Linked DNA regions of Pelodiscus sinensis. The protein of the gene in region 3 binds, or shares a complex with, the protein of the main gene of each other region. Links are inferred from orthologs where the notes say so. Each region holds a gene or a part of one and is shown on either strand. Other genes may lie near its edges.

Region 1 (7,617 bases), on a different chromosome or scaffold from region 3:
TGGCCCCTGACTGAGGAGACTACACACCCCAAATTCCCCTGGCACACCAGAGCCTAGGGAGGGCAGGCTAGTATATTTCCTATGATCCAGCCCTGTGGTAGAGTGTTAGTGGGCTGAAGTGCCAGCAAGGGCTCCCCAATGCTGGGGGGGAGCCCTGAGCCTTGGGGGTCAGATCCAGGAAAGCTGGGGGCCCCAGGCGGCCCCTAGGCCTGAGGTTTCCCACCCCTAGCTAAGGGCTTCCCCCCATGTCCAGATTAACTCTTCTGGGGCCCAGGGTTGCTAGTAGATTTTGTGGTACCATAGGCTCTGAGGTGTGGTCAAAAATAAGGGGTTCAGTGTGCTGTAGGTGGCTGCTGGGGTGTGGGGTTGAGGCAGTATGTTAGGGTGCTGGAGCGGGCTTGTGGTGGTACAGATTCAGAGTCTGGGAGTGTGTGGGTCTATGGGGTCTGGGCAGATGGGACAGGGGGCTGATTACCTGGGGCATCTCCTGGAGGTGTGCAAATGGCTATATATTAGGGATGTAAAAAAACGGCTAAAATGTAAGCATGTAATTGTTAAAAATGCTACTGATTATAGCTTTATGCTGCAGAGTCCGCAGTGTGTCCAGCTACCTGGGGATAGGGTCGGGGGCTGCAAGCCAGTGCACACCAACTCCTAGCTATTGGCCCTGCTCTTGATGCTGGATGTGCAGTAGGCTCTGCAGTATAAGCTTTACACTACAGATCTCATAGCACAGGGTGACAGCCATCTTCCCAGAAGCAGGGCTGGCAGCCAGGAAAAAACATGTAACTGTAATGGAAGCCAATAAGCTGATGTTTATTAGTTAACAGTTGAAACATCCCTATTCTACATGGCTCTAACAAAAAACAGGACTATGTAGCACTTTAAAGACTAACAAAATGGTTTATTAGGTGATGAGCTTTCGTGGCCCAGACCCACTTCCTCGGTGGGTCTGGCCCACGAAAGCTCATCACCTAATAAACCATATTGTTAGTCTTTAAAGTGCTACATAGTCCTGTTTTTTGTTTCAGCTACACCAGATTTTGTTTCAGCTACACCAGACTAACACGGCTACATTTCTATCACTACATGGCTCTGCATTTGTAGGCAACCACTCCCACTAGCTGCGAGTACTTGCCAGTGGGAGCAACTGGGGTGTAGCCTGTGAGCAGGTTCTCCTTTTCTGCCGTAGAGGGACCTCATAATACAATTAGTCAGCTTCAGTATTTTGGATACCAATAGAGGACTTTTTCCTAGAATTGGCCTGATAATCTCTCTGGGCTCGTCTACACTGGCCCCTTTTCCGGAAGGGGCATGTAAATTTCAGCAGTCGTCGTAGGGAAATCCGCGGGGGATTTAAATATCCCCCGCGGCATTTAAATAAAAATGTCCGCCGCTTTTTTCCGGCTTTTAAAAAAGCCGGAAAAGAGCGTCTAGACTGGCCCCGATCCTCCGGAAAAAGTGCCCTTTTCCGGAGGCTCTTATTCTTACTTCAAAGTAAGAATAAGACCCTCCGGAAAAGGGCACTTTTTCCGGAGGATCGGGGCCAGTCTAGACGCTCTTTTCCGGCTTTTTTAAAAGCCGGAAAAAAGCGGCGGACATTTTTATTTAAATGCCGCGGGGGATATTTAAATCCCCCGCGGATTTCCCTACGACGACTGCTGAAATTTACATGCCCCTTCCGGAAAAGGGGCCAGTGTAGACGTAGCCTCTGTGTGTGTGTGTGTGTGTGTGTGTGGGGGGGGGGGGGGGTGGGGATTATTAGCATCTGGAGCAGGGATTTCCCATCAGGCAGTGCTTCCCTGCTTTCTGTGTCCCAGAGTTCAGTGCAGTTCTTGTTGGACTTTCTGTTCTCCATTCTGTACCAAGGGTCAGCAACCTTTCCGAAGAAGTGTGCCAAGATTTAACCTTCCTGCCTTGGCCTGTGCAGCTCTCTCAGGAGGGGCTCTCTCCGCCATGTGCCCCACTTGATCTCCTGCCCTGGGCTCTGCTCCAGCTTTTCCTGTGGGAAGGGGAGGAACAGCATGCACACACTTCCCTGGAAGCCAGATGGGTGCGATGCCTCGGGGCTTCCCCCACCCTTGCAGGAAGCCGGTGCTGGCTCCAATCTTATGTGAGGTGTGATGCTGGATCACCAACATGGGCTGCCTCGCCCATTTCCCTGAACCCCTCCCCCCAGGCCACCCCGGGGGGAGGGGTTCAGGGAAATGGGTGAGGCAGGGCAGGGTGGTTACCCCAGGGTTTCCAGCCCTGCTGGGGGTGGGGTCCCATGGGGGTCCCAGTTCATGACACCCTTGCTTTCCTTCTAGGGACTCAGGATCCCAGGGGCCAACACGGCTTTGGGGTAGGGGCACCCCCCCACGCGTTTTCCTCTCCCCTCAGCCACCACCACCCAGCCCTGGAGCTGCAGCCCGGGCAGCATTCCCCCGCTAGTGCAGTGGTTCTCAAACTTTTTGGTCTGGACCACCTTGCTCAATGCAAACCTTTCAGTGAACCACCGTTAATTACATAATTATGCATAAGCCATTTTGCTAGTGCTGCAGCTAGGGAGAATGGTTTAATTTAAATTATTAAACAGAATAAGCGTTTTAACTTTCTCATGTTAGTTTATCAAACTTCATTTTAAATTAAAGTAAAATATTAATTTATGTCCAACACAAGATTTCAATGTTTTCTTTGTCAGGGGTGAGGAACTATCAGTTGGGGACCACACAAGTGAGAAGCAAAAAACTACTCCAAAACCCCCCAACCCTCTGAGCCTGACTCCATCACACCCCAGTCTCCAATTTGCCCATTATCTCCTCATCCCTGTCCCTGGCCTCCATGGGTGGGGAAGGCAGGTCTTGGCTCTGTTTGGGGTCCCTATGCTGCCCAATGCAAGTGGGCAGGGAGCCAGGGTAGCTCTCAGGGGTACCTGGGGGTACTGAGGAGCAGGTTCCCCCACCCCATTGCTTCCCCTTCCCCCAGCTTCTCTGCATGCCGGTGAGACTGGGGCAGGCGGAACAGCAGCAACTTGCATGCAGGGATGGGGCCTCAATCCCACGAGTGCGTGTGTGTGTTCCAGCTCCGTGTAGGGTCTCTGATGTAGGGTCTCTGATGTCTGCTGGAGGCAGGTGGGGAGCTGGGGTGCCTCTCAGAGATACAAGGGGTGGACGCAAGTCAGGGCTTTCTTCACCTCCCCCCCTCCCATGCACCTGGAAGCCAGAGCTGGTGCTCCAAGACTCACAACTGCGTGGACTCCAATGAGAGAGGGTTGCGCTCCTGCTGTGGTCTCCACATACCGCTAAAAATGAGCTCGCATGCCACTTACAGCACACATTCTGTAGGTTGCAGATCCCTGCTGTATACTAATGGGCTATGTCTAGACTGGCATGATTTTCCGCAAATGCTTTTAACGGAAACGTTTTCAGTTAAAAGCATTTGCGGAAAAGAGCGTCTAGATTGGCACGGACGCTTTTCCACAAAAGCACTTTTTGCGATAAAGCGTCCGTGGCCAATCTAGATGTGCTTTTGAGCAAAAAAGCCCTGATTACCATTTTCGCGATCAGGGCTTTTTTGCGCAAAACAAATCTCAGCTGTGTACACTGGCCCTTTTGCGCTAAACTTTTGTGCAAAAGGGACTTTTGCCCGAACGGGAGCAGCATAGTATTTCTGCAAAAAGCACTGATTTCTTACAGTAGGAAGTCAGTGCTTTTGCGGAAATTCAAGCGGCCAGTGTAGACAGCTGGCAAGTTTTTCCGGAAAAGCTGCTGATTTTCCGGAAAAACTGGCCAGTCTAGACACAGCCATGGAGTGGTGTGAATGAGCCTAGGGGAGCTTTCAGAGGAGTTAGGTGTGTCTCCCCCCTCCCCTGTCTTCTGATTGACTTTGGTTCAAGCAGAGACTTGGGGGGGGGGGGGGGAGGTCTTTCATTAGTCTGAATGACTCATTCATCAAGAACCTAGTTCAATAATAAAAATGAAAGGTAGCAAGTGCTATAAGAATCACAAAGAATTGCTAAAAGCAGTAACTACTGTTTACTTAAATATACTACTTGAACATTAGCTATTAAAATAAAAACAAATAGTACAGTGATGGGCATTGCACAGGGTAATAAGTAATAGAAATAATATTTGGAAAGGAGCAAAACTATAATTCAAGGGGTCTGGTAGCACTTTATAAACTAACAAAATATGTTGATGGTATCATGAGCTTTTGTGGGCATAGCCCACTACGTGTTTTGTTAGTCTATAAAGTGCTACCAGGCCATTTTTTTCCTGTAACAGACTAACTCAGCAACCCCCTGAAGCTCTATAATTCAAGTGGGTTACAAGGATGGGAGTACAAGTTCAGTGAACCCTGACAGCAGATCAGACAAATCTGTGAAATGGTATGAAACTTCATGTCCTCTCTTTAGCCCCCTCTAAAATGTAGTCAGCAGAAACTTCTACATCGTGTGGGCAGGGGAAGGGCAGTGGCTTCCGCAGAGCTATTGAGCATGCTCCGTAACTCTCACTTTCTGGCTCAGTAGCTCTTCTGAGGGGGAACCACCGGCCCTACCCCCGCGCTGTGCCCGCACAGGTGCAGAAACGAGCTGTGCGGCGATCCTGCAGCAGCCCGCCCTTTACAGGGCGCCACTGGCCCCGGCTCGGGACTGCGCTTCCCGGCTGACACTTTTCCGGGGCTCCGGCCCGCACCAGCCTTGGCCCCCCCTGCTCGTGTGAGACACTGCACCGAGCGCCCCCAGGGTCAGCCGCGGCTCCAGCGCCAGCGTTCCTTCCGCTCCTCCGCCCAGCAGTCGTGTGCGCATGCGCTCGCGCCCCGCCGCTGAGCCTGGGGAGAGAGAGTGGAGGGCGCAGGCGCCGCGAATGACCCTGGAAGCGCTTGCGCTCACCCGGAAATGCTTCCGCAGCTGCGGAGCAGAGATGGCGGCGGACACGGCAACGGAGCTGTTGTTTTTAGACACTTTCAAGCACCAGAGCGCGGAGGTACCGGTGGGGCCCGCCGAGCCACCCCTGTCCCCAGAGAACGAGAGCGGGAGGCGGAGAGTCTTGCCCCTGGGCTGGCCCGCTGCGGGACCGCGAGCGCGGGGAGCCAGGCTGGGGTGGAGCGGGCTGGGCTCTGGCAGCGGCGGGGGGAGCAGACGGGGGCGAGCCTGGGCGGGGGCTGTGGAGGTGCAAGGACAGGCAGGTTGATGCTGCCTGCTCCAGAGCCGGCAAAGGGCCAGGACGTGGAGAGTCCGTAGGAGGAAGCGCGGTGACACGGGGAGAGCGACGACAGCGCGTGAGGGGGCGAGCGGACCCTGTCTCAGGATTGGACCACCATGACATCAGCATGCAAGGGAGACTCCCCCGTATCGCGCTGGGAAGCCCTGGCGTGGCCAGACGCTTGACGAACGCTTCTATGGCTTCTTGTGCATGGGATGATGGCAACGTAGAAATGCGGCGATTAACAGGCGGGTGTTAATGAGGAGCCCGCAGAGTAAGAGAATAGGAATTGCGGCGAGGAGTCCTGTGGCACCTTGTAGACTAACTGAAGTGTAGGAGCATAAGCTTTCGTGGGCAAAGACCCACTTCGTCAGATGCATGACGAATAGGAATTGATACGGAAGAAAGTTGGCAGGTCAAGTGTAGGAGAAGGGGGAAAATGGGAGCGGAATTAAAAACGAGATTTTTAAGGTTGTTTGAGGAAAGATGAGAGGACAAGTCAGGAACAAGAGTGCTTTTCTGGAGCCTGTGGTGCATCTCTGCCTTGCAGCAGTTAATGGGGAGATCGGGAATATTCACTTTAGCTCCTATGTCCTGTGTGTTCCATTGCACAGTAGGTGTAAGGTTCATTGTACTAAGTTCCCAGTCTCAGAGGGTGACCTTACAGAGAGATTCTCCATGTTGTTACCATAGAAGCCCAGTGTTGAAAGAATACTTGTATTGCAGCAGAGAATTTTGTCAGTGATTGTCACCTCACATGGTGGTACTGTGTGGGAGAAAGATGTATCTTAAGTGATCATGATGTCAAGAGTGAAATTGTCAAAAATGGATTTGCAGGAAGTCATTGAGAATTTAACTATCTTCAAAGAAACTAGACATTTATATTGCTGTCTCCTTGGAGTTAAAATGAAAGTGCCTAGTCTTTTTGCAGGGGAAAGAGGTAAATAGCAGCATTTTCCAAGGATCATTCTGCATTGGGACCAGTGCTGTTCAATGTATTTGTAAATGATCTGGAAAAAGGAGTAAACAGTGATGTGGTGCATTTTGCAGACAATACAAAATTATTCAGGATGGATGATTCCAAAGCAGCTAGTGAAGAGTTACAAATGAATCTTACAAAACTGTGTGACAAAGGGCAGGACAGGTTCCTGAGATGCTGTTTGCAAGAAGTTGAGAATGGGTGACACTTGATGATTTACCTATTAATACCTTCTGAACCACCTGGCATTGGCCATTGCTGAAGGACAGGATACTAGGCTTGATGGACCTTTGATCTGATCCACTGTGTCCAGTCTTATGTTCTAGAATCATAGTGTACAGTTCTCTGAAAACATTTGCTCAACTAGGGATGTAAGCAACTAGTCGACTACCCGATAAGCAAATGCTTAGTGGGTAGTTGAGTAGGAACTCAACTAGTTGTTCCCTCTTCCCCCACTGCCTCTGTCAGAAATCAGGTGGTAGATCACTGTTCCCGCTAATATTTTTTCATGCATAAGTGGAATACATTTTGTTATGCACAGAGGCATGTATGGATGTGCACCACCAATAGAAACACAACTTGCTGATTGTGAGTGCTCTACCAATCCGCTTGGGGGGATGGCAAATCTCTCCTGAGTAGCCCTCCTGAGGGCACATTTTACAAGGAATGCCGGTATAGATTACCCCACATCTACCTGCAGCAGGTTCTTACATTTTCCTCTAAACATCTCAGACTGGCCACTGTTGAAATACTGAACTAGGTGGAGATCAGGTCTGATCCAGTGCAGCAATTCCTATGCATACAACCTCCTGCCATTTGTACATACAGCCAAATAGTCAAATTTGGGGCACACAAATGATCTGTCTCTGGTGCACATGCTTTTGATAATGTGTGCTTAGTTCATAGTTGTTGTTTATCATTACTGTTAGCATTATGGCAAGTGCCTAGCGGCAGTGAACATGAGGGCTAGGGATGTAAAATCCTGTTTTATTAGTTAACTGGTTAAACATAATATTTAATCAGTTAACCCATTACAGGGGGATGGGGTGCCCAGAAACAGCACTGTAGAAACACACAACAAAAACTCTTGTTCTTGTTCCTTAGCTTCTAAACATTTTAGAACATGGAAACACACATTTTTTAGAACACTGAATACATTTGTGGCATATGTAAATGGTGATTATAACATAGCAAAATCCTTAATCTTCACCAGGGGAGACTTTAATGTCAGACTTTAGAACTAATCCCAAAGAGGTAGTCTTCCTTAGGAACACAAGAATGGTCATACTGGGTTACGCTAGAGGTCCATCTAGCTTAGTATTGTCTTCCAGCAATGGCCAGTGCCAGTGCTTAAGAGGGAATGAACAGAACAGATAATCTTCAAGTGATCCAGTTCCTATCTTTCATTCACAGCTTCTGGCAGACAGAAGTTTGGGACACCATCCCTGCCCG
Region 2 (7,096 bases), on a different chromosome or scaffold from region 3:
CAGGGAGCAGGAGAGACACACACATATACACGCCCCTAGCACGGTCACACACCGGGCAGGGAGCAGGAGAGACACACACATATACACGCCCCTAGCACGGTCACACACCAGGCAGGGAGCAGGAGAGACACACACATATACACGCCCCTAGCACGGTCACACACCAGGCAGGGAGCAGGAGAGACACACACATATACACGCCCCTAGCACGGTCACACACCGGGCAGGGGGCAGGAGAGACACACACATATACACGCCCCTAGCACGGTCACACACCGGGCAGTGGGCAGGAGAGACACACACATATACACGCCCCTAGCACGGTCACACACCGGGCAGGGGGCAGGAGAGACACACACATATACACGCCCCTAGCACGGTCACACACCAGGCAGGGGGCAGGAGAGACACACACATATACACGCCCCTAGCACGGTCACACACCAGGCAGGGGGCAGGAGAGACACACACATATACACGCCCCTAGCACGGTCACACACCGGGCAGTGGGCAGGAGAGACACACACATATACACGCCCCTAGCACGGTCACACACCGGGCAGGGGGCAGGAGAGACACACACATATACACGCCCCTAGCACGGTCACACACCGGGCAGGGAGCAGGAGAGACACACATATACACGCCCCTAGCACGGTCACACACCGGGCAGGGGGCAGGAGAGACACACACATATACACGCCCCTAGCACGGTCACACACCGGCAGGGGGCAGGAGAGACACACACATATACACGCCCCTAGCACGGTCACACACCGGGCAGGGAGCAGGAGAGACACACACATATACACGCCCCTAGCACGGTCACACACCGGGCAGGGAGCAGGAGAGACACACACATATATACGCCCCTAGCACGGTCACACACCGGGCAGGGAGCAGGAGAGACACACACATATACACGCCCCTAGCACGGTCACACACCGGGCAGGGGGCAGGAGAGACACACACATATACACGCCCCTAGCACGGTCACACACCGGGCAGGGGGCAGGAGAGACACACACATATACACGCCCCTAGCACGGTCACACACCGGGCAGTGGGCAGGAGAGACACACACATATACACGCCCCTAGCACGGTCACACACCGGGCAGGGGGCAGGAGAGACACACACATATACACGCCCCTAGCACGGTCACACACCAGGCAGGGGGCAGGAGAGACACACACATATACACGCCCCTAGCACGGTCACACACCGGGCAGTGGGCAGGAGAGACACACACATATACACGCCCCTAGCACGGTCACACACCGGGCAGGGAGCAGGAGAGACACACACATATACACGCCCCTAGCACGGTCACACACCAGGCAGGGAGCAGGAGAGACACCCATATACACGCCCCTAGCACGGTCACACACCGGGCAGGGAGCAGGAGAGACACACATATACACGCCCCTAGCACGGTCACACACCGGGCAGGGGGCAGGAGAGACACACACATATACACGCCCCTAGCACGGTCACACACCGGCAGGGAGCAGGAGAGACACACACATATACACGCCCCTAGCACGGTCACACACCGGGCAGGGAGCAGGAGAGACACACACATATACAGGCCCCAGCACGGTCACACACCGGGCAGTGGGCAGGAGAGACACACACATATACACGCCCCTAGCACGGTCACACACCGGGCAGGGAGCAGGAGAGACACACACATATACACGCCCCTAGCACGGTCACACACCGGGCAGGGAGCAGGAGAGACACACACATATACACGCCCCTAGCACGGTCACACACCGGGCAGTGGGCAGGAGAGACACACACATATACACGCCCCTAGCACGGTCACACACCGGGCAGGGAGCAGGAGAGACACACACATATACACGCCCCTAGCACGGTCACACACCAGGCAGGGAACAGGAGAGACACCCATATACACGCCCCTAGCACGGTCACACACCAGGCAGGGAGCAGGAGAGACACACATATACACGCCCCTAGCACGGTCACACACCGGGCAGGGGGCAGGAGAGACACACACATATACACGCCCCTAGCACGGTCACACACCGGCAGGGAGCAGGAGAGACACACACATATACACGCCCCTAGCACGGTCACACACCGGGCAGGGAGCAGGAGAGACACACACATATACAGGCCCCAGCACGGTCACACACCGGGCAGTGGGCAGGAGAGACACACACATATACACGCCCCTAGCACGGTCACACACCGGGCAGGGAGCAGGAGAGACACACACATATACACGCCCCTAGCACGGTCACACACCAGGCAGGGAGCAGGAGAGACACCCATATACACGCCCCTAGCATGGTCACACACCGGGCAGGGAGCAGGAGAGACATACATATACACGCCCCTAGCACGGTCACACACCGGGCAGGGGGCAGGAGAGACACACACATATACACGCCCCTAGCACGGTCACACACCGGCAGGGAGCAGGAGAGACACACACATATACACGCCCCTAGCACGGTCACACACCGGGCAGGGAGCAGGAGAGACACACACATATACACGCCCCTAGCACGGTCACACACCGGGCAGGGGGCAGGAGAGACACACACATATACACGCCCCTAGCACGGTCACACACCGGGCAGGGAGCAGGAGAGACACACACATATACACGCCCCTAGCACGGTCACACACCGGGCAGGGGGCAGGAGAGAGACACACATATACATGCCCCTAGCACGGTCACACACCGGGCAGGGAGCAGGAGAGACACACACATATACACGCCCCTAGCACGGTCACACACCGGGCAGGGGGCAGGAGAGACACACACATATACACGCCCCTAGCACGGTCACACACCGGGCAGGGAGCAGGAGAGACACACACATATACACGCCCCTAGCACGGTCACACACCGGGCAGGGGGCAGGAGAGAGACACACACACATTCACATGCAGCAAGGGGTACATGTTTCCTGGGGGCGAGGATGCTGCACAGGCTCCCCAGCAAATTACAGATACCCCCTCTCCTGGCTTGGGTCTTTGCCCCTCCCTTGCCAGCTTCCCATAATGCTCCCCAGCTGCCTCTGGTGCAGGGCCCCTCCAGCCTTCCCTCTCCGTCCAACCCTGCTGCCCTTCTTGTGATTTGCCTCTCTTCCCCCCGACTAGACCCCCACATGCATCTGCCCTGTGGCCAGGGAGAGTGGCCCCCTGCCAGCCCCAGGCTAAAGTCAGGGCTGCTGGGGAGTTCTTTGCAGCTAGGGGAGGATTCGAGGCCAGCAGGTCTGGCAGAGTTGGGATGGGAAGCCGGCAATGCAGCGCTTCCCCGTTTCCCATTGGCAGCAGTGGCCCGCAGCGGGGGAAGTCGGGACCCCTGTGAGGGGGTGAACTGCAGAGGGGCAGGGGGGATGAGTGTGCTGTCACCCAGCCCTCTCCAGCTGCCCCCACAGGTGGCTGCATGTGGGGGAGGGGGCACTGTTTGGGGGCGCACAGCGCTGGAGGAAGAGCACATGGTGTCTATCAGCCCCCAGGATCGGGACCAGGCTGCTTCGTGCCAGGATGGGCCTGGCTTCACACCCTCTTGCCAGTGACCAAGATGGCCGCCTTCATGCGCCTGCAGGGATGGCAGTCAGGACCGTGCCAGGAACCAACATGGCCACCATGGCTTCGCAGTAGGGCGGTGGCAACACCCTCTGTTCCCTGCCTTCATGTGAGACACCACTGACGGGCTGCAGCCCCGGCGCCTAACCCCCAGCATGGCTGGCCGGAGTCCACCTACAGGGGACGCCTATGACGAGCCAGTGCCAGGAACAAAGATGGCTGCCAAGACGGCGCCTTTCGTCCCTAGCCACGGTGCCGGCCGCACTTTGCCAGAGCCAGACATGGCCGCCGTGGGAGGGCTTTAAAAGCAAGATGGCCGTCGTTTGCCAGTAAATGAAATGGCCGCCTTATTTAAAAAAAAAAAAAAAAGATAACCAAGATGGTGGCTTAAGATACCCTTAACCAAGATGGCTGCCTTGCGCACAACACCCGAAACCAAGATGGCGCCCGCTTGCCAACAGACGTTATGGCGGCGGCGCCTTCGCGGTGCGGGCAGAAACCGGAAGTGCGCACGTCTTATCCCCGTCCCCCCGGAGGCACTTCCGGCGGCTCGGGTTCGCGGCCCGGCGGCGCAGCATCGGGCAGGGCGGCGGGGCCGCACCATGTCGGACACGTGGAGCTCGATCCAGGCCCACAAGAAGCAGCTGGACTCGCTGCGGGAGCGGCTCCAGCGGCGGCGGAAGCAGGATCCGCTGGGTGGGTTGCGGGGGGTCAAAGGGCAGGGAGGGGTCGCGGGGTCAGAGGGCGCGAGTGATGCAGTGAGGTCAGGGGGCAGGAGCAGGGTCAAAGGGCGCGAAGGCAAGTGGGGTCAGTGGAGTTCAAAGGGCACACGGGGTGGGGGTCAAAGGGCACAAGGCCATTAGGAACCCGTAAGGGTTCAGAGGTCAAAGGGCACCGTGCAGTGGGGGGTGGGGTGTCTTTGAGGAGTTGGGGTCAAAGGGCACGGGGGCAGTGGGGACACAGGGTCAAAGGGCAAGCGGTGTGAGTGGGGGCCAGGGGCAGGACGCGGGGGAGGGGCAAAGGGCACCAGGTGGCGCGGGGGGTGGGAGCAGCGGCCCAGCAGGCTGCCTGGCGGGGGGGGGGGGTGGGAGCAGCGGCCCAGCAGGCTGCCTGGCGGGGGGGGGGGTGGGAGCAGCGGCCCAGCAGGCTGCCTGGCGGGGGGGGGGTGGGAGCAGCGGCCCAGCAGGCTGCCTGGTGCGGGGGGGGTGGGAGCAGCGGCCCAGCAGGCTGCCTGGTGCGGGGGGTGGGAGCAGCGGCCCAGCAGGCTGCCTGGTGGGGTGGGAGCAGCGGCCCAGCAGGCTGCCTGGTGGGGGGGGGGGGTGGGAGCAGCGGCCCAGCAGGCTGCCTGGCGGGGGGGGGTGGGAGCAGCGGCCCAGCAGGCTGCCTGGTGCGGGGGGTGGGAGCAGCGGCCCAGCAGGCTGCCTGGCGGGGGGGGGTGGGAGCAGCGGCCCAGCAGGCTGCCTGGTGCGGGGGGTGGGAGCAGCGGCCCAGCAGGCTGCCTGGTGGGGGGGGGGGGGGTGGGAGCAGCGGCCCAGCAGGCTGCCTGGTGCGGGGGGTGGGAGCAGCGGCCCAGCAGGCTGCCTGGTGGGGGGGGGGGGGGGGGTGGGAGCAGCGGCCCAGCAGGCTGCCTGGGGGGGGGGGTGGGAGCAGCGGCCCAGCAGGCTGCCTGGCGGGGGGGGGGGTGGGAGCAGCGGCCCAGCAGGCTGCCTGGTGCGGGGGGTGGGAGCAGCGGCCCAGCAGGCTGCCTGGTGGGGGGGGGGGTGGGAGCAGCGGCCCAGCAGGCTGCCTGGCGGGGGGGGGGGGGGGTGGGAGCAACGGCCCAGCAGGCTGCCTGGCCTCATCCTGTTTCTCTCCTCAGATCTCAGGAACCCAGAGCTGGTGTCACCCTTCCGCAGCGACAGTCCGGTGCCCGCAGCCCCCACGCCCAGCAATGCCGCCAGGGAGCTGGCCACGGACCCCGAGCTGGAGAAGAAGCTGCTGCAGCACCTCTCCGACCTGGGACTGGCTCTGCCCACTGATGCCCTCTCCATCTGCCTGGCCATCTCTACGGTGAGAGCCCAGCCCCATTCCCCTGCACCCCCACTGATGCTGCAGAGCCCTCTTCCCCATCTCCTGGGCTGTTCCCTCCTTCCCCAGCTCAGGAGATCCACTGACGTGCTAACCCCTCTCTCCCTCTCTGGGGGTAACTTGGGGGGTGACTCCACACTTGCCCTGCCCCACCACCCTGTGTGTCCTGCAGCCAGAGGCGCCCGTCACCCAGCGCAGCGTGGAGGGCCTTCTACAGAAGTTTGCGGCGCAGGAGTTGATCGAGGTGCGCCGGGGGCTGTTGCAGGACGATGAGGAGCAGCCCACGCTGGTCACTTACGCTGACCACTCCAAGCTCTCAGCCATGATGGGCGCCGTGGCAGAGCGCAAGGGCCCTGCAGAGCAGGGCAGCACTGGGGGCCAGAAGCGATGGGCAGAGCAGGAGACTGGGGGTGCTGTTTCTTCCCCCGCCGGCACTGCTCCCTCTGCCTCAGCCGCCTTGGAGCCGGCCAAGGAGCCGGCCAAGAAGTCTCGGAAGCAGGCATCCGACCTGGACCTGGAGATTGAGAGCCTGTTGAGCCAACAGTCCACCAAGGAGCAGCAGAGTAAGAAGGTACCAGCCGGACACCTGGGTCCCACCCTGGCCATTGGATGGGGATCCAATGCTGGGTCCTCTCCCTGCTCAGGTGGGAGGGCAGGGGGCACAGAGCCAGGGGACTTTCTTGCTCTGGCTCTACAGTGAGTGGGATCTAGAGCTGGGAGCCCAGTCTCCTGGGTTCTCTCCCAACACCTGGGAGCAGAGTGGGATGGGGGGGAAGGGAACCCCAGACTCCTGGGTTCTTCTCCTTGCTCTCCCACCCCCCAGGTGAGCCAGGAGATCCTGGAGCTGCTGAACACCACAACGGCCAAGGAGCAGTCGATCGTGGAGAAGTTCCGGTCGCGTGGCCGCGCCCAGGTGCAGGAGTTCTGTGACTATGGCACCAAGGAGGAGTGCGTGAAAGCCACGGACGCCGAGCGGCCCTGCCGCAAGCTGCACTTCAGGTTGGAGCCCAGAACACCTGGGTTCTCTGCAGCTCTGGGAAGGGGGGGGGGGGGCGTTGGTGGGTTAGAGCCGGAGCGCCCGGGTTCTCTGCAGCTCTGGGAAGGGGAGGGGGGGGGGCGTTGGTGGGTTAGAGCCGGAGCGCCTGGATTCTCTGCAGCTCTGGGAAGGGGGGGTTGGTGGGTTAGAGCCGGGGCGCCTGGATTCTCTGCAGCTCTGGGAAGGGGGGGGTTGGTGGGTTAGAGCCGGGGCGCCTGGATTCTCTGCAGCTCTGGGAAGGGGGGGGTTGGTGGGTTAGAGCCGGTTCTCTCCCATCTCTAGGAGGGAGTGGGGCTGGTGGGCTTGGGCCCTGGGCTCTGGGAGGGGAGAGGTCCAGCTGGGCGAAGGGCAGGGTCGATAACCCGGACACCTGGGTTCCACGTCCGTGTATCTTTCCCTTCCCCGCGTCTGCCCAGGCGC
Region 3 (7,722 bases):
TCTCTCATGCACCCCTGTATATATTAATCTGTTGTGAGCCTGTCTCGCCTATACCCTGGAATACTTATATCTGTATAAGCCTATCTGCCCTATGACTGTGCAATTAATTATATGTAGGCCTGTCTCTGATACACATCTAAAGATAATTTTGAGATCTTAATTTCCATAGACAGACACTTTGTCAGATTTACACTTCCAGTATACACTTCTGATCACTCCTGGGCCCCCACTAACACATTAGGGGGCATGGATCAGCCAGTGCTCACCTTACTCTTCCTGTTGATACCCAGCCCACACTGGGGAAGCTAATGATCCAACCATCAGACCAAATGTGGTGCAGAACTCTGGTCACTTGCCACCTAACGCATGTTGTACATACGCTAAGAAGACTAAGACATTGGGGTTATTAACTCCCAGCCATTTGAAATCCAGCCCCTGGTTGAGGAATGCCGGTTGTGGGATACCAGCTCCTTTGAAAAGAGCTCGATAAAGATGGGGAGAGACGCCATCCAGTGGACTGTTAGGAAAAAAAGTCTCCTTCCAGTTCCACCTCTGGTTTGTACTGAGCTCAGCAAGGGAGCCATTTTATCTCCATGGATACGTGACACATGGATTGATGGATGTTTCAGCTAAAAACACAGTAAGTGACATCAGACTTGCTGCTCTGGAAAGCAGAACGGGATATTTCAGACTTTTTAGGACTAATTGGATAGAAATTCTGCTTTAGCAAATTAATTCTCTTTCTTTCTCCTGGGGATTATGAAAACGTTGCCTTTCCCTTGTTGTAACACACTTTGTTTGCCTGTTTGTACAACATCAGGTTGATCTGTGAAACAAAACTGCTCAGTTTCACTCTCGGTCTCTGGTCAGTTTCACTTTCTGCTTCTCCTGATTAACACTTTGCTGTAGCATGCAGATTCCCAGCACTGGGTGGGACCAGGATATTTTAAAATGACCAGTCTATTTCCTTTAACTATTATGAGCATTTCATTTGGCTAGAGGGTCTAGAGGCCAAAACAGGGAGTCAGAAGATTTGAGTTCTAACCCTGAGTTTGCCATAGACTTGCTCTGTGATCTCTAGCAAATTATTTCTCCGCTTAGTACCTCACTTTTCATTTCTGTAAAACAGGAGACACAATAGTAGGTCCACCCCCTCAGCAAGGGCAGGGAGATGAAAAACACTGTCTTTAAGTATTATTAAGGTGCTTTATCACCATTCATTAAGGCTTGTAATATCACAGTGAGATAGGTAAGTGCTATCAGACCTATTTCTTAAGTGGGTAAACTGAGTTGAGAACTTGTTGAAAAAATGTATATATCTTCCAGGAAGAAAATGCAAAAGAACCTCAAAGCTTTTTTAATGTTTGCACAGTTTTTTTTATTTTTCAACAGAACTAAACATTTTCTTTCTTTCTGCTTGATGAAAAGGCTTCATTGAGCTCTAGAGTTGAGTAGTGTTTGGTCAGATCTTGACTTCGAAGGATCAGTAAACCACACTTGGTTTCCCTTTGGTTCCTTTCCTTTTTCTCTTCCAGTACTATGATAAAAGAAGAGACCCTGCAAAAACTAGCCTGAATCAAGAGTAGGGTGTAATTTAAACCCATAAAAAGCAAATACTCTGCAGGTTAAAGCAGAAACATTTCACTTTCACTAAGGCCTTGTCTATACGACACAATTTTGTCAATGAAAGTTACACTGACAGTCAAAAACAGCATAATTCCATCGTCTGTGCATGGTCACACAATGTTCCTGTCGGCAGAGTGCATTCACACTGGTGCATTAGCACTGACAATCAGAGCAGGGCACCGTACTTAGCTATCCCTCTGGGCTTCTCCTGGGTAAGAAAGGGCCTTCGTGGCTTGACTCCCATTGATCTGCTTGGAGCTGCTCTGCATTTCTCCCACCCTATCTGGCTTGTCAGTCACTCCTCAGGGCAGGGACTGAAACCACTGGTGGGAAACAGTGGGTCCCACTTGTCATCCCCGCCCCCATGCTTTATGAAAATCATGCAAAATGGGTCATCATGTGACCTATCATTCAAGGGCCCATGATCCCTTGAATCTGTATCTCCTCTGTGTGTGCATGTATCATTCTTGCATGACAAGTTAGAATAAGAAGGAACCTGTTTTATTAGCTCAGGCATTTCAGGAAAAGCCATTAGTGATACTTTAGGAGCTTAATGGCTCGGTGCGCAAGTCCTGTGAATGGTTTTGTTTTCCCTGGAAGCCCAAACTGTGATTGGACTTACGAAGACATGTGACTAGGCCCTCTGATGCAGGGACCCATTTTGGATCTGCCACTTTTTCCTCTTTTTTCAAGGTGAGATAAATTTGAACTGAGCACAAAGAATTCCTGCCATGGGTAAAGAGGCTGGAAGGGGGAACAAACAAGAGAGAGAGTCTCTAGGCACCAGGAGACCGCTGTTTCGCCATCTAAGATGGCTGCTGGAAACATCTAAGACTGAAGAGAAGGATCGGGCCCAAGCTAGAAGGCTGCCAATCTTGTGAAAGAGATTGGAACAAATGTTCGGGTAAGAATTTGCATGTAACAAGTTTCCTAGTGTATTAGGATTAGAAGGCATGTTTTGATTATTTTGGCTCAGTAACTGATTTATTTTCACTTGCAGTCACTTAAATCCTACCTCTTATACTTAATAACATAAAATGCTTTTGTTTATTATCAAACCCAGTGTAAATCATTATTATGTGGGGGAGGGCAACCACTTCCATTGGTAAAGGGTGAATTTATAAGATGTTATATATAGGGTGTTGCCAACTGCCCTATATAGCTGAGCTCCCCCAGGACTGAGCTGCTTCATGTCTGCTGGGGAGTGGTTACCTCAACTCTGTGCCTTGGCCGGGGGAGACCAGTGCTTTTGGCCTAGGAGCACAGTATGGGGGAGAGCCTCAGAGAGCAGGAAGGCAGGCTCAGTGGCTTGATCAGGACATGGGGTGACAACCCCAAGGAACTCTCTGTGATACTAAAATCATAGAATCCCTGGGGTGGGCAGAGACCTCAGCAGGCATCAGGTCCAGCCCCCTGCCCACAGCAGGGCCAACCCCAACTCAATCATCCTAGCCAGGGCTTTGTCAAGATGGGACTTAACCTCTAGGGATGGAGATTCTACCCCCTCCTTAGGGAACCCAGCCCAGCGCTTCCCCACCCGCCTAGGGAAACAGTGTTTCCTAGAGTCCAGTCCAGACCTCCCCCACTGCAACGTGATCCAACCCCTCACACCACAAATCTCTCACTTTGAAGTTTCTCAATTAAAACCAAAGGCAGCTATTGACCAGATCCCTGTGGGGTTTGCAAAACACAAACACCAGTTCAAAGGGACCTTCCATTTCGAATCAACCCTGTTTGCTTCCCACCCCTAATACCAGACCTAGTCCGGGTTATTGCCGGGTTACAAACCCAAACCCATTCAGTGCCCAGAGGGTCGCATCCCCCGGCCATCAGACTGAGCCCGCAGGGATCAGAGATCACAGGGTCCGCCCGGGCCCGATCCGGAGCTCCCCCAAACCGGCCGGCGGGCCCGATCCGGAGCCCCCCAAACCGGCCGGCGGGCCCGATCCGGAGCTCCCCCAAACCGGCCGGCGGGCCCGATCCGGAGCTCCCCCAAACCGGCCAGCGGGCCGATCCGGAGCCCCCCAAACCGGCCGGCGGGCCCGATCCGGAGCTCCCCCAAACCGGCCAGCGGGCCCGATCCGGAGCTCCCCCAAACCGGCCAGCGGGCCGATCCGGAGCCCCCCAAACCGGCCGGCGGGCCCGATCCGGAGCTCCCCCAAACCGGCCAGCGGGCCCGATCCGGAGCTCCCCCAAACCGGCCGGCGGGCCCGATCCGGAGCTCCCCCAAACCGGCCGGCGGGCCCGATCCGGAGCTCCCCCAAACCGGCCAGCGGGCCGATCCGGAGCCCCCCAAACCGGCCGGCGGGCCCGATCCGGAGCTCCCCCAAACCGGCCAGCGGGCCCGATCCTGAGCTCCCCCAAACCGGCCGGCGGGCCCGATCCGGAGCTCCCCCAAACCGGCCGGCGGGCCCGATCCGGAGCTCCCCCAAACCGGCCGGCGGGCCCGATCCGGAGCTCCCCCAAACCGGCCGGCGGGCCCGATCTAGGGACCCTACCGGGCTCAGCAAAACCACGTGCGCGAACCCTTTGCGGCCCGCCTGCCGGCCTTAGCGTGACTGACTCCTCCAGCAGCCTATCCACGGACCAGCCCTTTCAATCCAATCAGATGTTGCGGAAGATTTCAATCGGCCAATGAGGATCTGGGGGTGGGGCTGGCTGCTGCCCGCGCTTGGATGGGAGAGACGTGGCCTTCATCCAATCAGATCGCTAGGGAAAGCCTTTGGGTGACCAATGAGAGCGACGGGGGCGGGATGACTGTGGCACGCGAGGAATCGTTGATTGACGGAACCCGCATCTAATCAAACGCGAGGGGTTAAGCGCGCTCCGGCCAATAGCAAAAGATGGGGCGGGACGCTGGTGCCGCAAGTAGAACCGTTAGAAATGATAGTCAGCTCCCCCAGTCACAGAAAGGAGACTGTGCCACCTGACCAAGGAAATTACAGCGCGGGGGCAGCGAGACCGCGAGAACCGTTAGGATTGACAGGTTGACTGTCCAATCAGAAAGCAGCGGTTCCGTAGCCGACCAATCAGAGCAGTCGAGGTGGTTCGTCCGTTCCTGAGCCGTGAGCGCGAGGGAATCTGTACGGGAGACAGCCCTCCCTGCCAATCACAACCTCACTCTGCTGCTTGGCGGGCGGGCCTTCCGCTGTCGACGGCCGAAGCCACGGCCTACCGACAGCCTCCCTCTCCAATGAAGGGCGCGGGGGGCGATTTAACTGTCCAATGGGCGAGCGGGGGGCGGGGCTCATTTCCGCGGCGGGTTCCAAGATGGCGGCGGGTGTGTGAGCGCGGCGGTTAGTCAGGCAAGCCGTCCCGCGGGGCCCCGCCGCCATGAAGGGCAAGGAGCGCTCCCCGGCCAAGGCCAAGCGGTCGCGGGGCGGCGGCGAGGACTCGGCCGCCTCCTCCTCCTCGGCGCGGGGCGAGCGGAGCAGCAAGAAGCCCGGCGGCTCCGGCGGCAGCAACGGGGGCAAGGCGGCGGGCGGCTCGGGCGAGGGCAGCAGCCGGCGGGGCCTGCACCTGGACAAGGCCAGCCGGGCCGGCAGCCGCGAGTACGAGGCGGGGGCGGCGCCCAGCTCCGGCCGCCACGGCTACAGCAGCAGCAAGAACGCGGAGTCGTCGCGCAGCAGCGGCAGCCGGGGCGAGTCCCGCGCGCCGCCCGCCCCCGCCTCCGAGTCGGGCGGCGGGAGCGGCGAGTACAAGACGCTGAAGATCAGCGAGCTGGGCTCGGCGCTGAGCGACGAGGCGGTGGAGGACGGGCTCTTCCACGAGTTCAAGCGCTTCGGCGACGTGAGCGTCAAGATCAGCCGCCTCCCGCCGGGCACCGGCGCCAGCGACGAGCGCGTGGCCTTCGTCAATTTCCGCCGGCCGGAGGACGCCCGCGCCGCCAAGCACGCCCGCGGCCGCCTGGTGCTCTACGACCGGCCGCTCAAGATCGAAGCGGTCTACGTCGGGGGCAGCAGCCGGCGGCGCAGCAGCCGCTCCCCGGCCCTGCTGGACAAGGATTCTCATTCGCCCTACGGGGCCGCGGCCGTGGGCGTGGCGGCGGCCGCGGCCGCAGCTGTCAGGCACCCTGCGGCTGGAGCAACCCAGAGGGCGCTGTCGCCGGCGGGTGGAGGAGGGGGCCTGGGCTATCGAGACTACCGGCTGCAGCAACTCGCGCTGGGCCGCCTGCCCCCACCGCCCCCCCTGCCCAGGGAGTTGGAGAGGGAACGGGACTATGGGGCTTTTTATGATACCCGCGTGCGGCCGGCCTATGGGTTGGAGCGAGTGGCTGGAGTGGCTGCAGCTGGGGGTTTCCGTGGAGGAGGAGGAGGTGCTGGAGTTGCCGGGGAGGAGGAGATCAGTCCTGAGGATGATCAGAGAGCCAACCGTACTTTGTTCCTGGGCAACCTGGACATCACGGTGAGCGAGTCGGACCTGCGCCGGGCCTTCGACCGCTTCGGGGTCATCACAGAAGTGGATATCAAACGTCCAGGTCGTGGCCAGACCAGTACCTATGGCTTCCTCAAATTTGAGAACCTGGACATGGCGCACCGTGCCAAGCTAGCCATGTCTGGAAAGGTGCTGCTACGTAACCCTATCAAAATTGGTTATGGCAAAGCCACCCCTACCACCAGGCTTTGGGTGGGTGGCCTTGGGCCCTGGGTGCCACTGGCTGCCCTGGCACGGGAGTTTGACCGTTTTGGCACCATTCGCACTATTGATTATCGTAAAGGTGATTCATGGGCATACATCCAATATGAGAGCCTGGACGCAGCACAGGCTGCTTGTGCCCACATGCGTGGCTTCCCCTTGGGTGGGCCAGACCGCCGCCTACGTGTGGACTTTGCTGACACGGAGCATCGCTACCAGCAACCCTACCTGCAGCCACTGACCCTACCACCACCTGCCCACTATGAGCTAGTTGCAGAGGCAGCTGCTTTTGGGGCTCACCGTGGGGCTCCCCCAGACCCACTTCGGGGGGCCCGTGACAGGACACCACCACTGCTCTATAGAGACCGCGACAGAGATCTCTATCCTGAGGCGGAATGGGTGCCACCGCCACCTCCTGTACGGGACAGGAGCAATCGAGCCGCTGCCTACGACCCACTGGAAAGTCTGGAGCGCCGGCGGGATGGCTGGTCCTTGGAGCGGGACCGAGGGGAAAGGGAACTGGGTGGCGGCAGCAGCAGCAGTAGAGACCAACCCAGGAAGCGAAGATTGGCAGAGGATGGTGGCCGGCACTTAGACCGCTCTCCAGATAGTGAGCGTTCATCTGCGTCCCGTAAGCGACATTGTTTGGCCACAGCCTCCCCCCCAGACCGCAGTCCTGATCTTGGTGGGAGCAGGGAACGCTACACTAGTGACACAGAACGCTCATCCTCCCGTTTGCTCCTGTTGGATCGGCCATCACCTATCCGGGAGCCACGCAGGGGCAGTCTTGAAAGAGGTCTGAGTGAAAAGCGTGACCGCAAAAACTCTGCTGAAAGAGAGCGGAAACACCGCACCTCCACAGCAGCTGTTGCCCAGGAATGTAAAAGCCCAGCCAAAAAGGATGAGCGTACCACGGAAGGTGGCAGTGGTGGAGGATCCCGGCTCAAACCTCCGCCCCAGAAGCAGCAGCAGCAAGATGGAACATCGCAGGCTGCTGGGGCCCCCAAACTATGCCTGGCTTGGCAGGGCATGCTCCTCCTGAAGAATAGTAACTTCCCGTCCAACATGCACCTTCTTCAGGGGGATCTCAGTGTAGCCAGCAGCCTCCTGGTAGAGGGAGCAACTGGTGGCAAAGTGGCTCAGCTCAAGATCACCCAACGTCTCCGCCTGGACCAGCCCAAGCTGGATGAGGTCACGCGCCGTATCAAAGTGGCAGGGCCCAATGGTTATGCCATTCTCTTGGCTGTGCCTGGCACCTCGGACAACCGCTCCTCATCTGGAGCCACTGAGGCTGCCACCACCTCCACACAGAGGCCACTCAGGAACCTCGTGTCCTATCTAAAGCAAAAGCAGGCTGCCGGAGTGATCAGCCTCCCTGTGGGGGGCAACAAAGACAAGGAGAACAGCGGGGTCCTGCACGCCTTTCCACCCTGCGACTTCTCCCAGCAGTTTCTGGACTCC
Region 4 (7,092 bases), on a different chromosome or scaffold from region 3:
TGAATGATATATCTGTCTCTAATGACACAGTATTGAGACAGATAAATGAGATATCACAGAACATCAGTGAACAAGTAGTGGATGAAATGAAGTCTCCATTGTTTGCCATACAATTGGATGAATCGACCGACGTCGCATTGTGCTCTCAGCTATTGGTGTTCGTATGATACATGGTTGAGGGAGACTTCAAAGACGAGTTTCTGTAAGACTCCTGATACCACCACAAAGGCTCAGGATGTGATAGAAATTGTTAACAATTTTTTTGAAGTACATGGTCTGGATTCGGTAAATCTTGTGGGTGTCACCACTGATGGTGCACCTGCCATGCTGGGCTCAAGATCGGGCTTCCAAATGCTGGTGAACAGCACGCTCCTATGGTAACCGGAGCTCATTGTTTCATTCATAGGGAAGCTTTGGCATCAAAAAACATTGCCTGATCAACTGAACACCATTTTCAAAGGGTTGGTGAAAGTGGTGAATCGCATCAAATCATCAGTGCTGAACACCAGGCTGTTCAAAAGATTTTGCCTGGACATGGGTTCCGACTTTGATGTGTTGCTTTTCTACACTTCTCTACAGTGGTTGTCAGCAGGGAACGTACTCAACAGAGTTTTTCAGTTGAGAGAGGAGTTGGATTTATTTCTCTAGGCTCAAGGAAAACAGGAATTCCGAAATGTGCTGACACCATCAAATTTAGAACTTGTGTATCTTGTTGATATTTTTGGAATCTTGAACAAACCGAATCTTCAGCTGCAAGGGAAAGGTGCAAATCTGTTCTCTCACCAATGCATCGTCAAGGCTTTTCTTGACAAATTGGAACTCTGGATCGTAAGAGTTGAAGGCAATAATTTGATTTAATTTCCATATGTGGATGCCATGGTCGGGGAAAAGGAAGCCAGTTGGATGCAAACTCTCAATCATTTACGGAAGCTACGAGATGAATTCCAACGATACTTTTTGGAGGTGGATAGGACAAGGGATGGATTATCTTTCATCAGGAATCCATTTACAACAGATGTTAACAGTGTTTCAGAGGATCTGCAGGAGGAATTCTTGGATCTGAAAAATGATTTTGCAGCTCAAGACATGTACCAGCAGTCTACTATAGAGAAGTTTGGGGCCAGCGTGACCGGGAGTTACCCAAATCGGTCAGCACATGCAGTCAGATTTCTTTTGCCATTTGCATCAACTTATATGTGTGAGACTGGATTTTTGTGTTTGTTGCATGTTAAGTCCAAACAGAGGAATCGGCTTGCAGTGGAAAGCGATATTCATTGTGCATTATCAAGTACCACTCCAAACATTGAAAAGCTTGTCAGTGAGAAGAGAATCCAAAAATCTGTTAGTAAGAAATAAGTTTCAAACCAAAATATTTGTCTGCTCTTTTTTATCATGTCTCAAAAATGAGGTGGTCCACAAAAAATTTTTGATTGGCCTAGTGGTCCGTGGACTGAAACAACTTGAGAACCACTGTTCTAGACCATCCCTGATAGTAGGTTAGATAAATGTCTCTTAAATATTTCCACAGATGGAGATTCCACAGTCACCCTAGGCAATTTATATCAGTGTTTAACCACTCTGACAGTTAGGAACTTTTTCCTAATGTCCAACCTAAACCTCCCTTGCTGCAGTTTAAGCCCAATGCTTCTTGTTCTATCTTCAGAGGCCAAGAAGAACAAGTTTTTTCCCTCCTCCTCGTGACACCCTTTTAGATACCTGAAAACCGCTATCATGTCCCCCCTCAATCTTCTCTTTTCCAAACTAAACAAGCCCAATTCTTTCAGTCTTCTTTCATGGGTCATGTTCTCTGACCTTTAATCATTCTTGTTGCTCTTCCTATAGTTGATGAAAATTCTATTGACTATTCACTTATTTAATTAATCTAAATGTAACATTCCTATCAGTGATTTGCAATCTCAACCACTCCACTCCAAGCTGGTGGGTCCCAATAAGGGGTGAGGTGGGTGCTTGGATTGGGAGTCAATGCACCACGATGGAACCCAGGCCAGGCTCCCACACATGCCTACGTGGAGCCCGTCCACACATCAGGTGCTGCTCTGATGTCAAGTCTGTCACAGCCTGGCCACAAGGGGCCCCGCACCAAAGGCACTGCAGTCCGCATCAGGCTAAAACTTTACTTGCCTGCTGCTGGGACAAAAGACTCCAGAGAAGTTGCCGTGGGAGACAAGTCCCACGTGCAGGCAGTCCACACAACCCTGGCAGCTCCTGCCACAGTGGATACCTGATGCCAACAACTCCCCACATGGGCAGGTGCAGGGTGCCTAGCCTGCAATGCCCCCTTCCTGGAGTTGTGCATTGCCTCTCGCTGTCTGTAGCGCTGCTCACAGCCATAACTTGCCCCAGCCTCCCGTTGCCTCAGGCGCCCAACCTGGCACCAGCTTGCAAGAGCTGAAATATACAATCCCAGCCAGCGCCCCTCTAGTCACCTTTATCCCAGTGGAGGGGGGAGGGAGCTTAGCTGAGCTCCAGCTGCGGACCACTGGGCTGCACTTTGAGAACCACTGATTTAAGAAAAGCCACAGGGCTCTTAGATTTGTAAAGCAGGACAAAGCCGGCGCTCTGTGCAGAACCAGGAATCATCTGATTACCAGCTCAGCTGAAGCCAGGTTACTATGTGGTTCTGCCCTTTTAAATCTAAGACGACCCACATGGCTCTTACTAAAATTAAAGGGGAGAGCAGCAGTGGGGTCTCAGTGAAGGCAGGCTGGGAGGGAAAGTGGGGCCACTTACATGCTGCTGCTTTACCGGTGGTTCCCAACAGGACTATCTGTCTGCCAGAGAACAGAGGACCAGAAGTCAGGCACCGCCTCCTTCTGCTCATATTGGCTAGGTTCTAGAGCAGAAGGAAAAATCTTTAGGAAGGTCCCTGCATACTTGCATTCCTGCAGGAGGGAGAGGAAACAGCAGTGCGCAGCTGCTTCTAGCTGCGCTGCTGTTTCCAGCACATTTTTAGTGTTTACGTGGCCACCAGTTCAGATTTAAATGTGGGACTGTCCTGGAAAACCCAGAACATATGGTCAGCATAGCCATGGGGCGGCAGGGGGAGAGAGGAGGGAGGAGCGCTCTCTCTGCTAGTCTTTTAACTTTTGCTTTTTTTCATAATGAACAAGCTGCCAGAGCCATGCAATAGAAGGAGAGTCTGCAGTCAGTCAGACCCCAAAGTTGGTGTCTTGATCAAGTGGTTACAGACGAAACTTAAGAGAGCCACTGGTGGAACCCTAAGGGCTCACACCTCGCCAAAGCAAAGCGCCCAGCTGAGTGGCATCGCAGCCTCTGCCCCCAGTTAGGGTGCATCTACACTGCACCCACAGCGTGAAATAAGCTACACAATTTGAGCTACACAAATTGCATATCTTATTCTGAGTAAATGTTGAAATAGCTTATCTTATAACTTGGCACTGTATACGCAGCACCAAAATAACTCGCTATTCCGAAATGTCCCTTCTTCTTTGTGGAAGAAGGGTTAAAAGACGTCAGAATAGCGAGCCCCTTATATATTTCCAAATAACAGGCACGCCGTTAAGACGCAGGGCAGCTATTCTGGGATACCTCCGATGGCCCAAATTAGCTGCAAGGAGTAGACGCAGGCTTACAGACTAGCAAGGCTACAACTCCGAGACTTGTCTCACCAGAGCTGAGCAGCAGAGCCATGGAAAGAAATGTCGTAAATACCCTCAGGCATCACCTGCAATTTAGCCTCAATTCTTCCCTCCCGGGATGGGGGCTGCAGCCTGGGCCTGTCGGTCAAGCCCTTCCTCTCCCCCCGGGGGGCGCTCGCAGAGACGCGCAGGGCGCGAACCTTCTCAGACTCTCTGCGGGCTGCCAGCAGTCCCTAAGCGCGGCCCGTGGCGGAGAGCAAGTCACGGGACTACAGCTCCCAGCATGCCAGAGTAAAAAAAAAGTCCCCCCCCCATGCGATGGGCTAGGAACCACAGTCCCTGCCCGGGACCGCGGTGCATACTGGGAGATGTAGCTCACGTGGGGCTTATTCGTTTTGCCCACCGAAACGAGGCCCGCAGCCCTCCCGTTAAGCGCGGGGTCTCGGCTTAGTTCAGTTCTCCCCTACTTGACCATCCGCCCCTTGGCGGCGACGGCTTCCGCTTCCGCTGTCCAGGCGCTTCCGGTGCCGCCCTTCCGGCGTGGTGATTTCCGCTCCCACGCTGCCCCGCGCCGAATCATGGACCACAATGGTGAGGAGGGGAGAGGGAGGGAGCCGTATTTATACCCGTCCCCGCCCGGCCGGGCCTGGCCCGGACAGTGCGTGGTGTGGCCTGGGCAGTCGGACACGGGGAGGCCCCACGGGGAGCGGGCCGGAGGAGCGGCCCGATGCCTGGGGCCTAGTGCGGCCTGGACCCCAGCGCCGCCGGCCCATAGTACGGGTGGAGGGGACTCGGCCGGGCTCCGCCGTCCCTGCGCCCCCGAGCCTCCACTCTGACCGCGAGCCCCAGCCTCCGCCGGGCCCTGCCGGGGAGCGGGCACCGATCCCCACCGGCCTCGTTCGGCGCGGCCCCGAGCGGGCGGGGAAGGCCGCTGGGACTGTTGGCCCGGGGAGGCGCGGTCCCCTTCGCCGCCCGCGCAGCTATGGAGCGGGGCGGGGGTGCTGCAGCAGACCCCGGCTACACCTCCCTGCCGTAGCAATGGCTGAGGTTCCTGGGGTCGGGCTAAAGGATCAGGACGCCTTGAACGAACTCTGGTTCTCGGCGTGTAGTTAGCAGAGGCGCAAGTGGCTGCGGATGGGGAGCACCTCGCTGTATCTGCTAAGGTCTAGGAATATACCGTTTGTATAACGTGCTGCACTTTTTCTGTAGCTGGTCAGAACAGGCAGACTCCCGCTTTTGACTTCTGCTGTAAAATAGCATTGCTCTTTGAAATTGGCTGCCCACGAGTGCATATGAAAAGAAAATATTTTATTATAAAAAATGAGTAATGATTTTCCAATATGGGGAACATCTACAATTGGTAATCTTGCCTCTATGATGCACCATTTCCATTTGCCTCTCTGTCCAAACCTGATATCATAGTTAAAATATAGTTGCAGTGTGTAAACTGTTCAGCCAGTGCATCCTCCTCCCATAGAAGTAGGAACTGTTTACTGTTGTGTGCTTTTTACTTTTTGTCTCTATTGTAATAGTGACAAGGTTGAATTGGCTTTTTTTTTCAGATTGTGAATCCAAAAAGAAGGGAGTACTGTCACTTGCTATGGGTTTTGTACAGTGTCTATTACAGGGAGATCTGTTGAGGTCTTTAGGCACTACTATACTAGTATTTTTGGTGATCTCAGTAATCTTTTAATATGACTATCAGTCGTATCTGAAATTGGCCAGCAGGGGTCAATCTAGAATAGCATAGGACACGTTTCCCTAGGGCTGAACAGTTCAGCCACTGTAACTCTTCCAGCCTCTGTAGACCTGCCCAGTGATGGACCACTGTAGCTACTAACAAGGGGATTGGATTGCAAAGTCCCATTGAAAAGGCTTAGTTTTAATCTTTACCTTGTTTAGAATATTCTGAACCTCTTCCCTTAAACATTTTTACATTTCAGCTACAAGCCCTGTCCATATTTTAAACGTAAAACTAATTAAACTTTTGTTTCAAAGTGTTTCATAGCAAAACTTGTTTTTTGTGGTGATCTTTGCTGTCTAGCATGTTTATTCCTGTCCTAGCTTCAAGAGACCTGGAGTTAAAGGTTCAAGACAGGCGGGAATAATTTACAATACTGTTTTTATACGTTTCAGAGTGATAGTTGTGTTAGTCTGTAACTTAAAAAAAAACCAAGTAGTCCAGTGACATCTTAGAGACTAACAAATATATATAGTATCATGAGCATTCATGGGCAAAATCCACTTAAATGGGATCCTGCGGGTGGAGGGCCGCTCTGGCAAGGCCAGGACCTCCGCACCATGGGGAGCTGCTGCAGCCTGGCTGGAAGAAGTGGATTTTGCCTATAAAAGCTCATGATATTATATATATTTTTGTTAGTCTTTAAGGTGCCCCAGGACTACTTGTTGTTTTTATATGTCTACAAACCTGACAGGTACATTCCTTGAAAAACACAATATTTTAAATTATAATCATAGTTGATCCCTGTAAACTTCAGCAGAGCTAACTTGTTACTCTTCTTCAAAATTCTTTGCTGCAGGGCCTACAAGAAACTTCACAGTGCTTAGCATGCTAATAAGTTGAGGCCACTACCCATCATGCTATCATTATTGTCTCATTACCTCTCTGTGTTTCTCTGTTTTCTCTTGTCTTATACTTGAGTCTTAGACTGTAAATTATTTGGGACATGGACTGTCTTTTTCTGTATGTACAGCAGCTAGCATAGAAGGATTCAGATCCATCATTAGCAATTATAGGTGCTACAGTACTATAGATACATAATAAGGATGTAAAAGTGTAGTTGATTAACTGATAAGCAAAAGCTTATAGGTTAATGCTATAAACTACATGCATTTTTCCTCCTCCTCCACACACTTGCCAGTAAATTTTTTAGCAGGCTGGCCAACAGCCTGGCTTGTGACAGGTTCAGGACCTACCCCTGCTGCGGATCTGCATTTAAAGTGTATTAGGAGGCAGGCAGGTAGCCCAGCCCAGTTCCGGCTTGTGCGGGTCTGGGACCTCAGGCCATCCCCTAAACAGGGGCTGCTGCCACCTGCACTGCTGCTTTTTTTTTATCAGACGCAGCAGCACAGGGTAACAGGCAGCCAGTCCCCAAGGGAGCTGGTTTTTAAACTGGCTCCTCTCATGGACCAGCTCCCACATGAAAAGGGTCTTCGTGGGAGTGAGGTCAGAGTACATTGGCTGCTGGCCCCGCCATGAGGGACTATAGAATAGTTGACTGATAAGAATTCATGAGGTTACTTGACTATTCCATTAACTGATATTTAATATCCCTAATAGACAGGGCTCGCCGAGCGGCGGCGAGCTCTGCTCGCCAGCTGCACAGTTCTGCACTTTATGTATGCGCAGATTGTTCCGTGCCAGCTCTTCTGGGGTGCCACAGGCGAGCGAGTAGATTACACTATTTGTCGATCCCTGCTAATACATAATATTTTTATGAACAGGGTCCCA

The links.
Region 1: RBM15 (region 3) and VIRMA share a complex: the UniProt entries of both Homo sapiens proteins name them as parts of the WMM complex. The link is inferred for Pelodiscus sinensis from reciprocal best matches to the Homo sapiens genes RBM15 and VIRMA.
Region 2: RBM15 (region 3) and METTL3 share a complex: the UniProt entries of both Homo sapiens proteins name them as parts of the WMM complex. The link is inferred for Pelodiscus sinensis from reciprocal best matches to the Homo sapiens genes RBM15 and METTL3.
Region 4: RBM15 (region 3) and CBLL1 share a complex: the UniProt entries of both Homo sapiens proteins name them as parts of the WMM complex. The link is inferred for Pelodiscus sinensis from reciprocal best matches to the Homo sapiens genes RBM15 and CBLL1.

Annotation. Positions count from the first base shown.
Region 1 is NC_134712.1:40,435,181-40,442,797, forward strand, and holds the start of VIRMA (protein virilizer homolog), read left to right. Parts: upstream 1-4,612; 5' UTR 4,613-4,787; coding exon 4,788-4,967; intron 4,968-7,617. UniProt on the Homo sapiens protein: Associated component of the WMM complex, a complex that mediates N6-methyladenosine (m6A) methylation of RNAs, a modification that plays a role in the efficiency of mRNA splicing and RNA processing.
Region 2 is NC_134740.1:757,120-764,215, forward strand, and holds the start of METTL3 (N(6)-adenosine-methyltransferase catalytic subunit METTL3), read left to right. Parts: upstream 1-4,089; 5' UTR 4,090-4,175; coding exon 4,176-4,269; intron 4,270-5,431; coding exon 5,432-5,622; intron 5,623-5,812; coding exon 5,813-6,211; intron 6,212-6,463; coding exon 6,464-6,639; intron 6,640-7,092; coding exon 7,093-7,096. UniProt on the Homo sapiens protein: The METTL3-METTL14 heterodimer forms a N6-methyltransferase complex that methylates adenosine residues at the N(6) position of some RNAs and regulates various processes such as the circadian clock, differentiation of embryonic and hematopoietic stem cells, cortical neurogenesis, response to DNA damage, differentiation of T-cells and primary miRNA processing.
Region 3 is NC_134737.1:17,765,881-17,773,602, reverse strand, and holds the start of RBM15 (RNA-binding protein 15), read left to right. Parts: upstream 1-4,721; 5' UTR 4,722-4,959; coding exon 4,960-7,722. UniProt on the Homo sapiens protein: RNA-binding protein that acts as a key regulator of N6-methyladenosine (m6A) methylation of RNAs, thereby regulating different processes, such as hematopoietic cell homeostasis, alternative splicing of mRNAs and X chromosome inactivation mediated by Xist RNA.
Region 4 is NC_134711.1:27,033,802-27,040,893, forward strand, and holds the start of CBLL1 (E3 ubiquitin-protein ligase Hakai), read left to right. Parts: upstream 1-4,072; 5' UTR 4,073-4,198; coding exon of another isoform or gene 4,199-4,211; intron 4,212-7,092. UniProt on the Homo sapiens protein: E3 ubiquitin-protein ligase that mediates ubiquitination of several tyrosine-phosphorylated Src substrates, including CDH1, CTTN and DOK1. Targets CDH1 for endocytosis and degradation.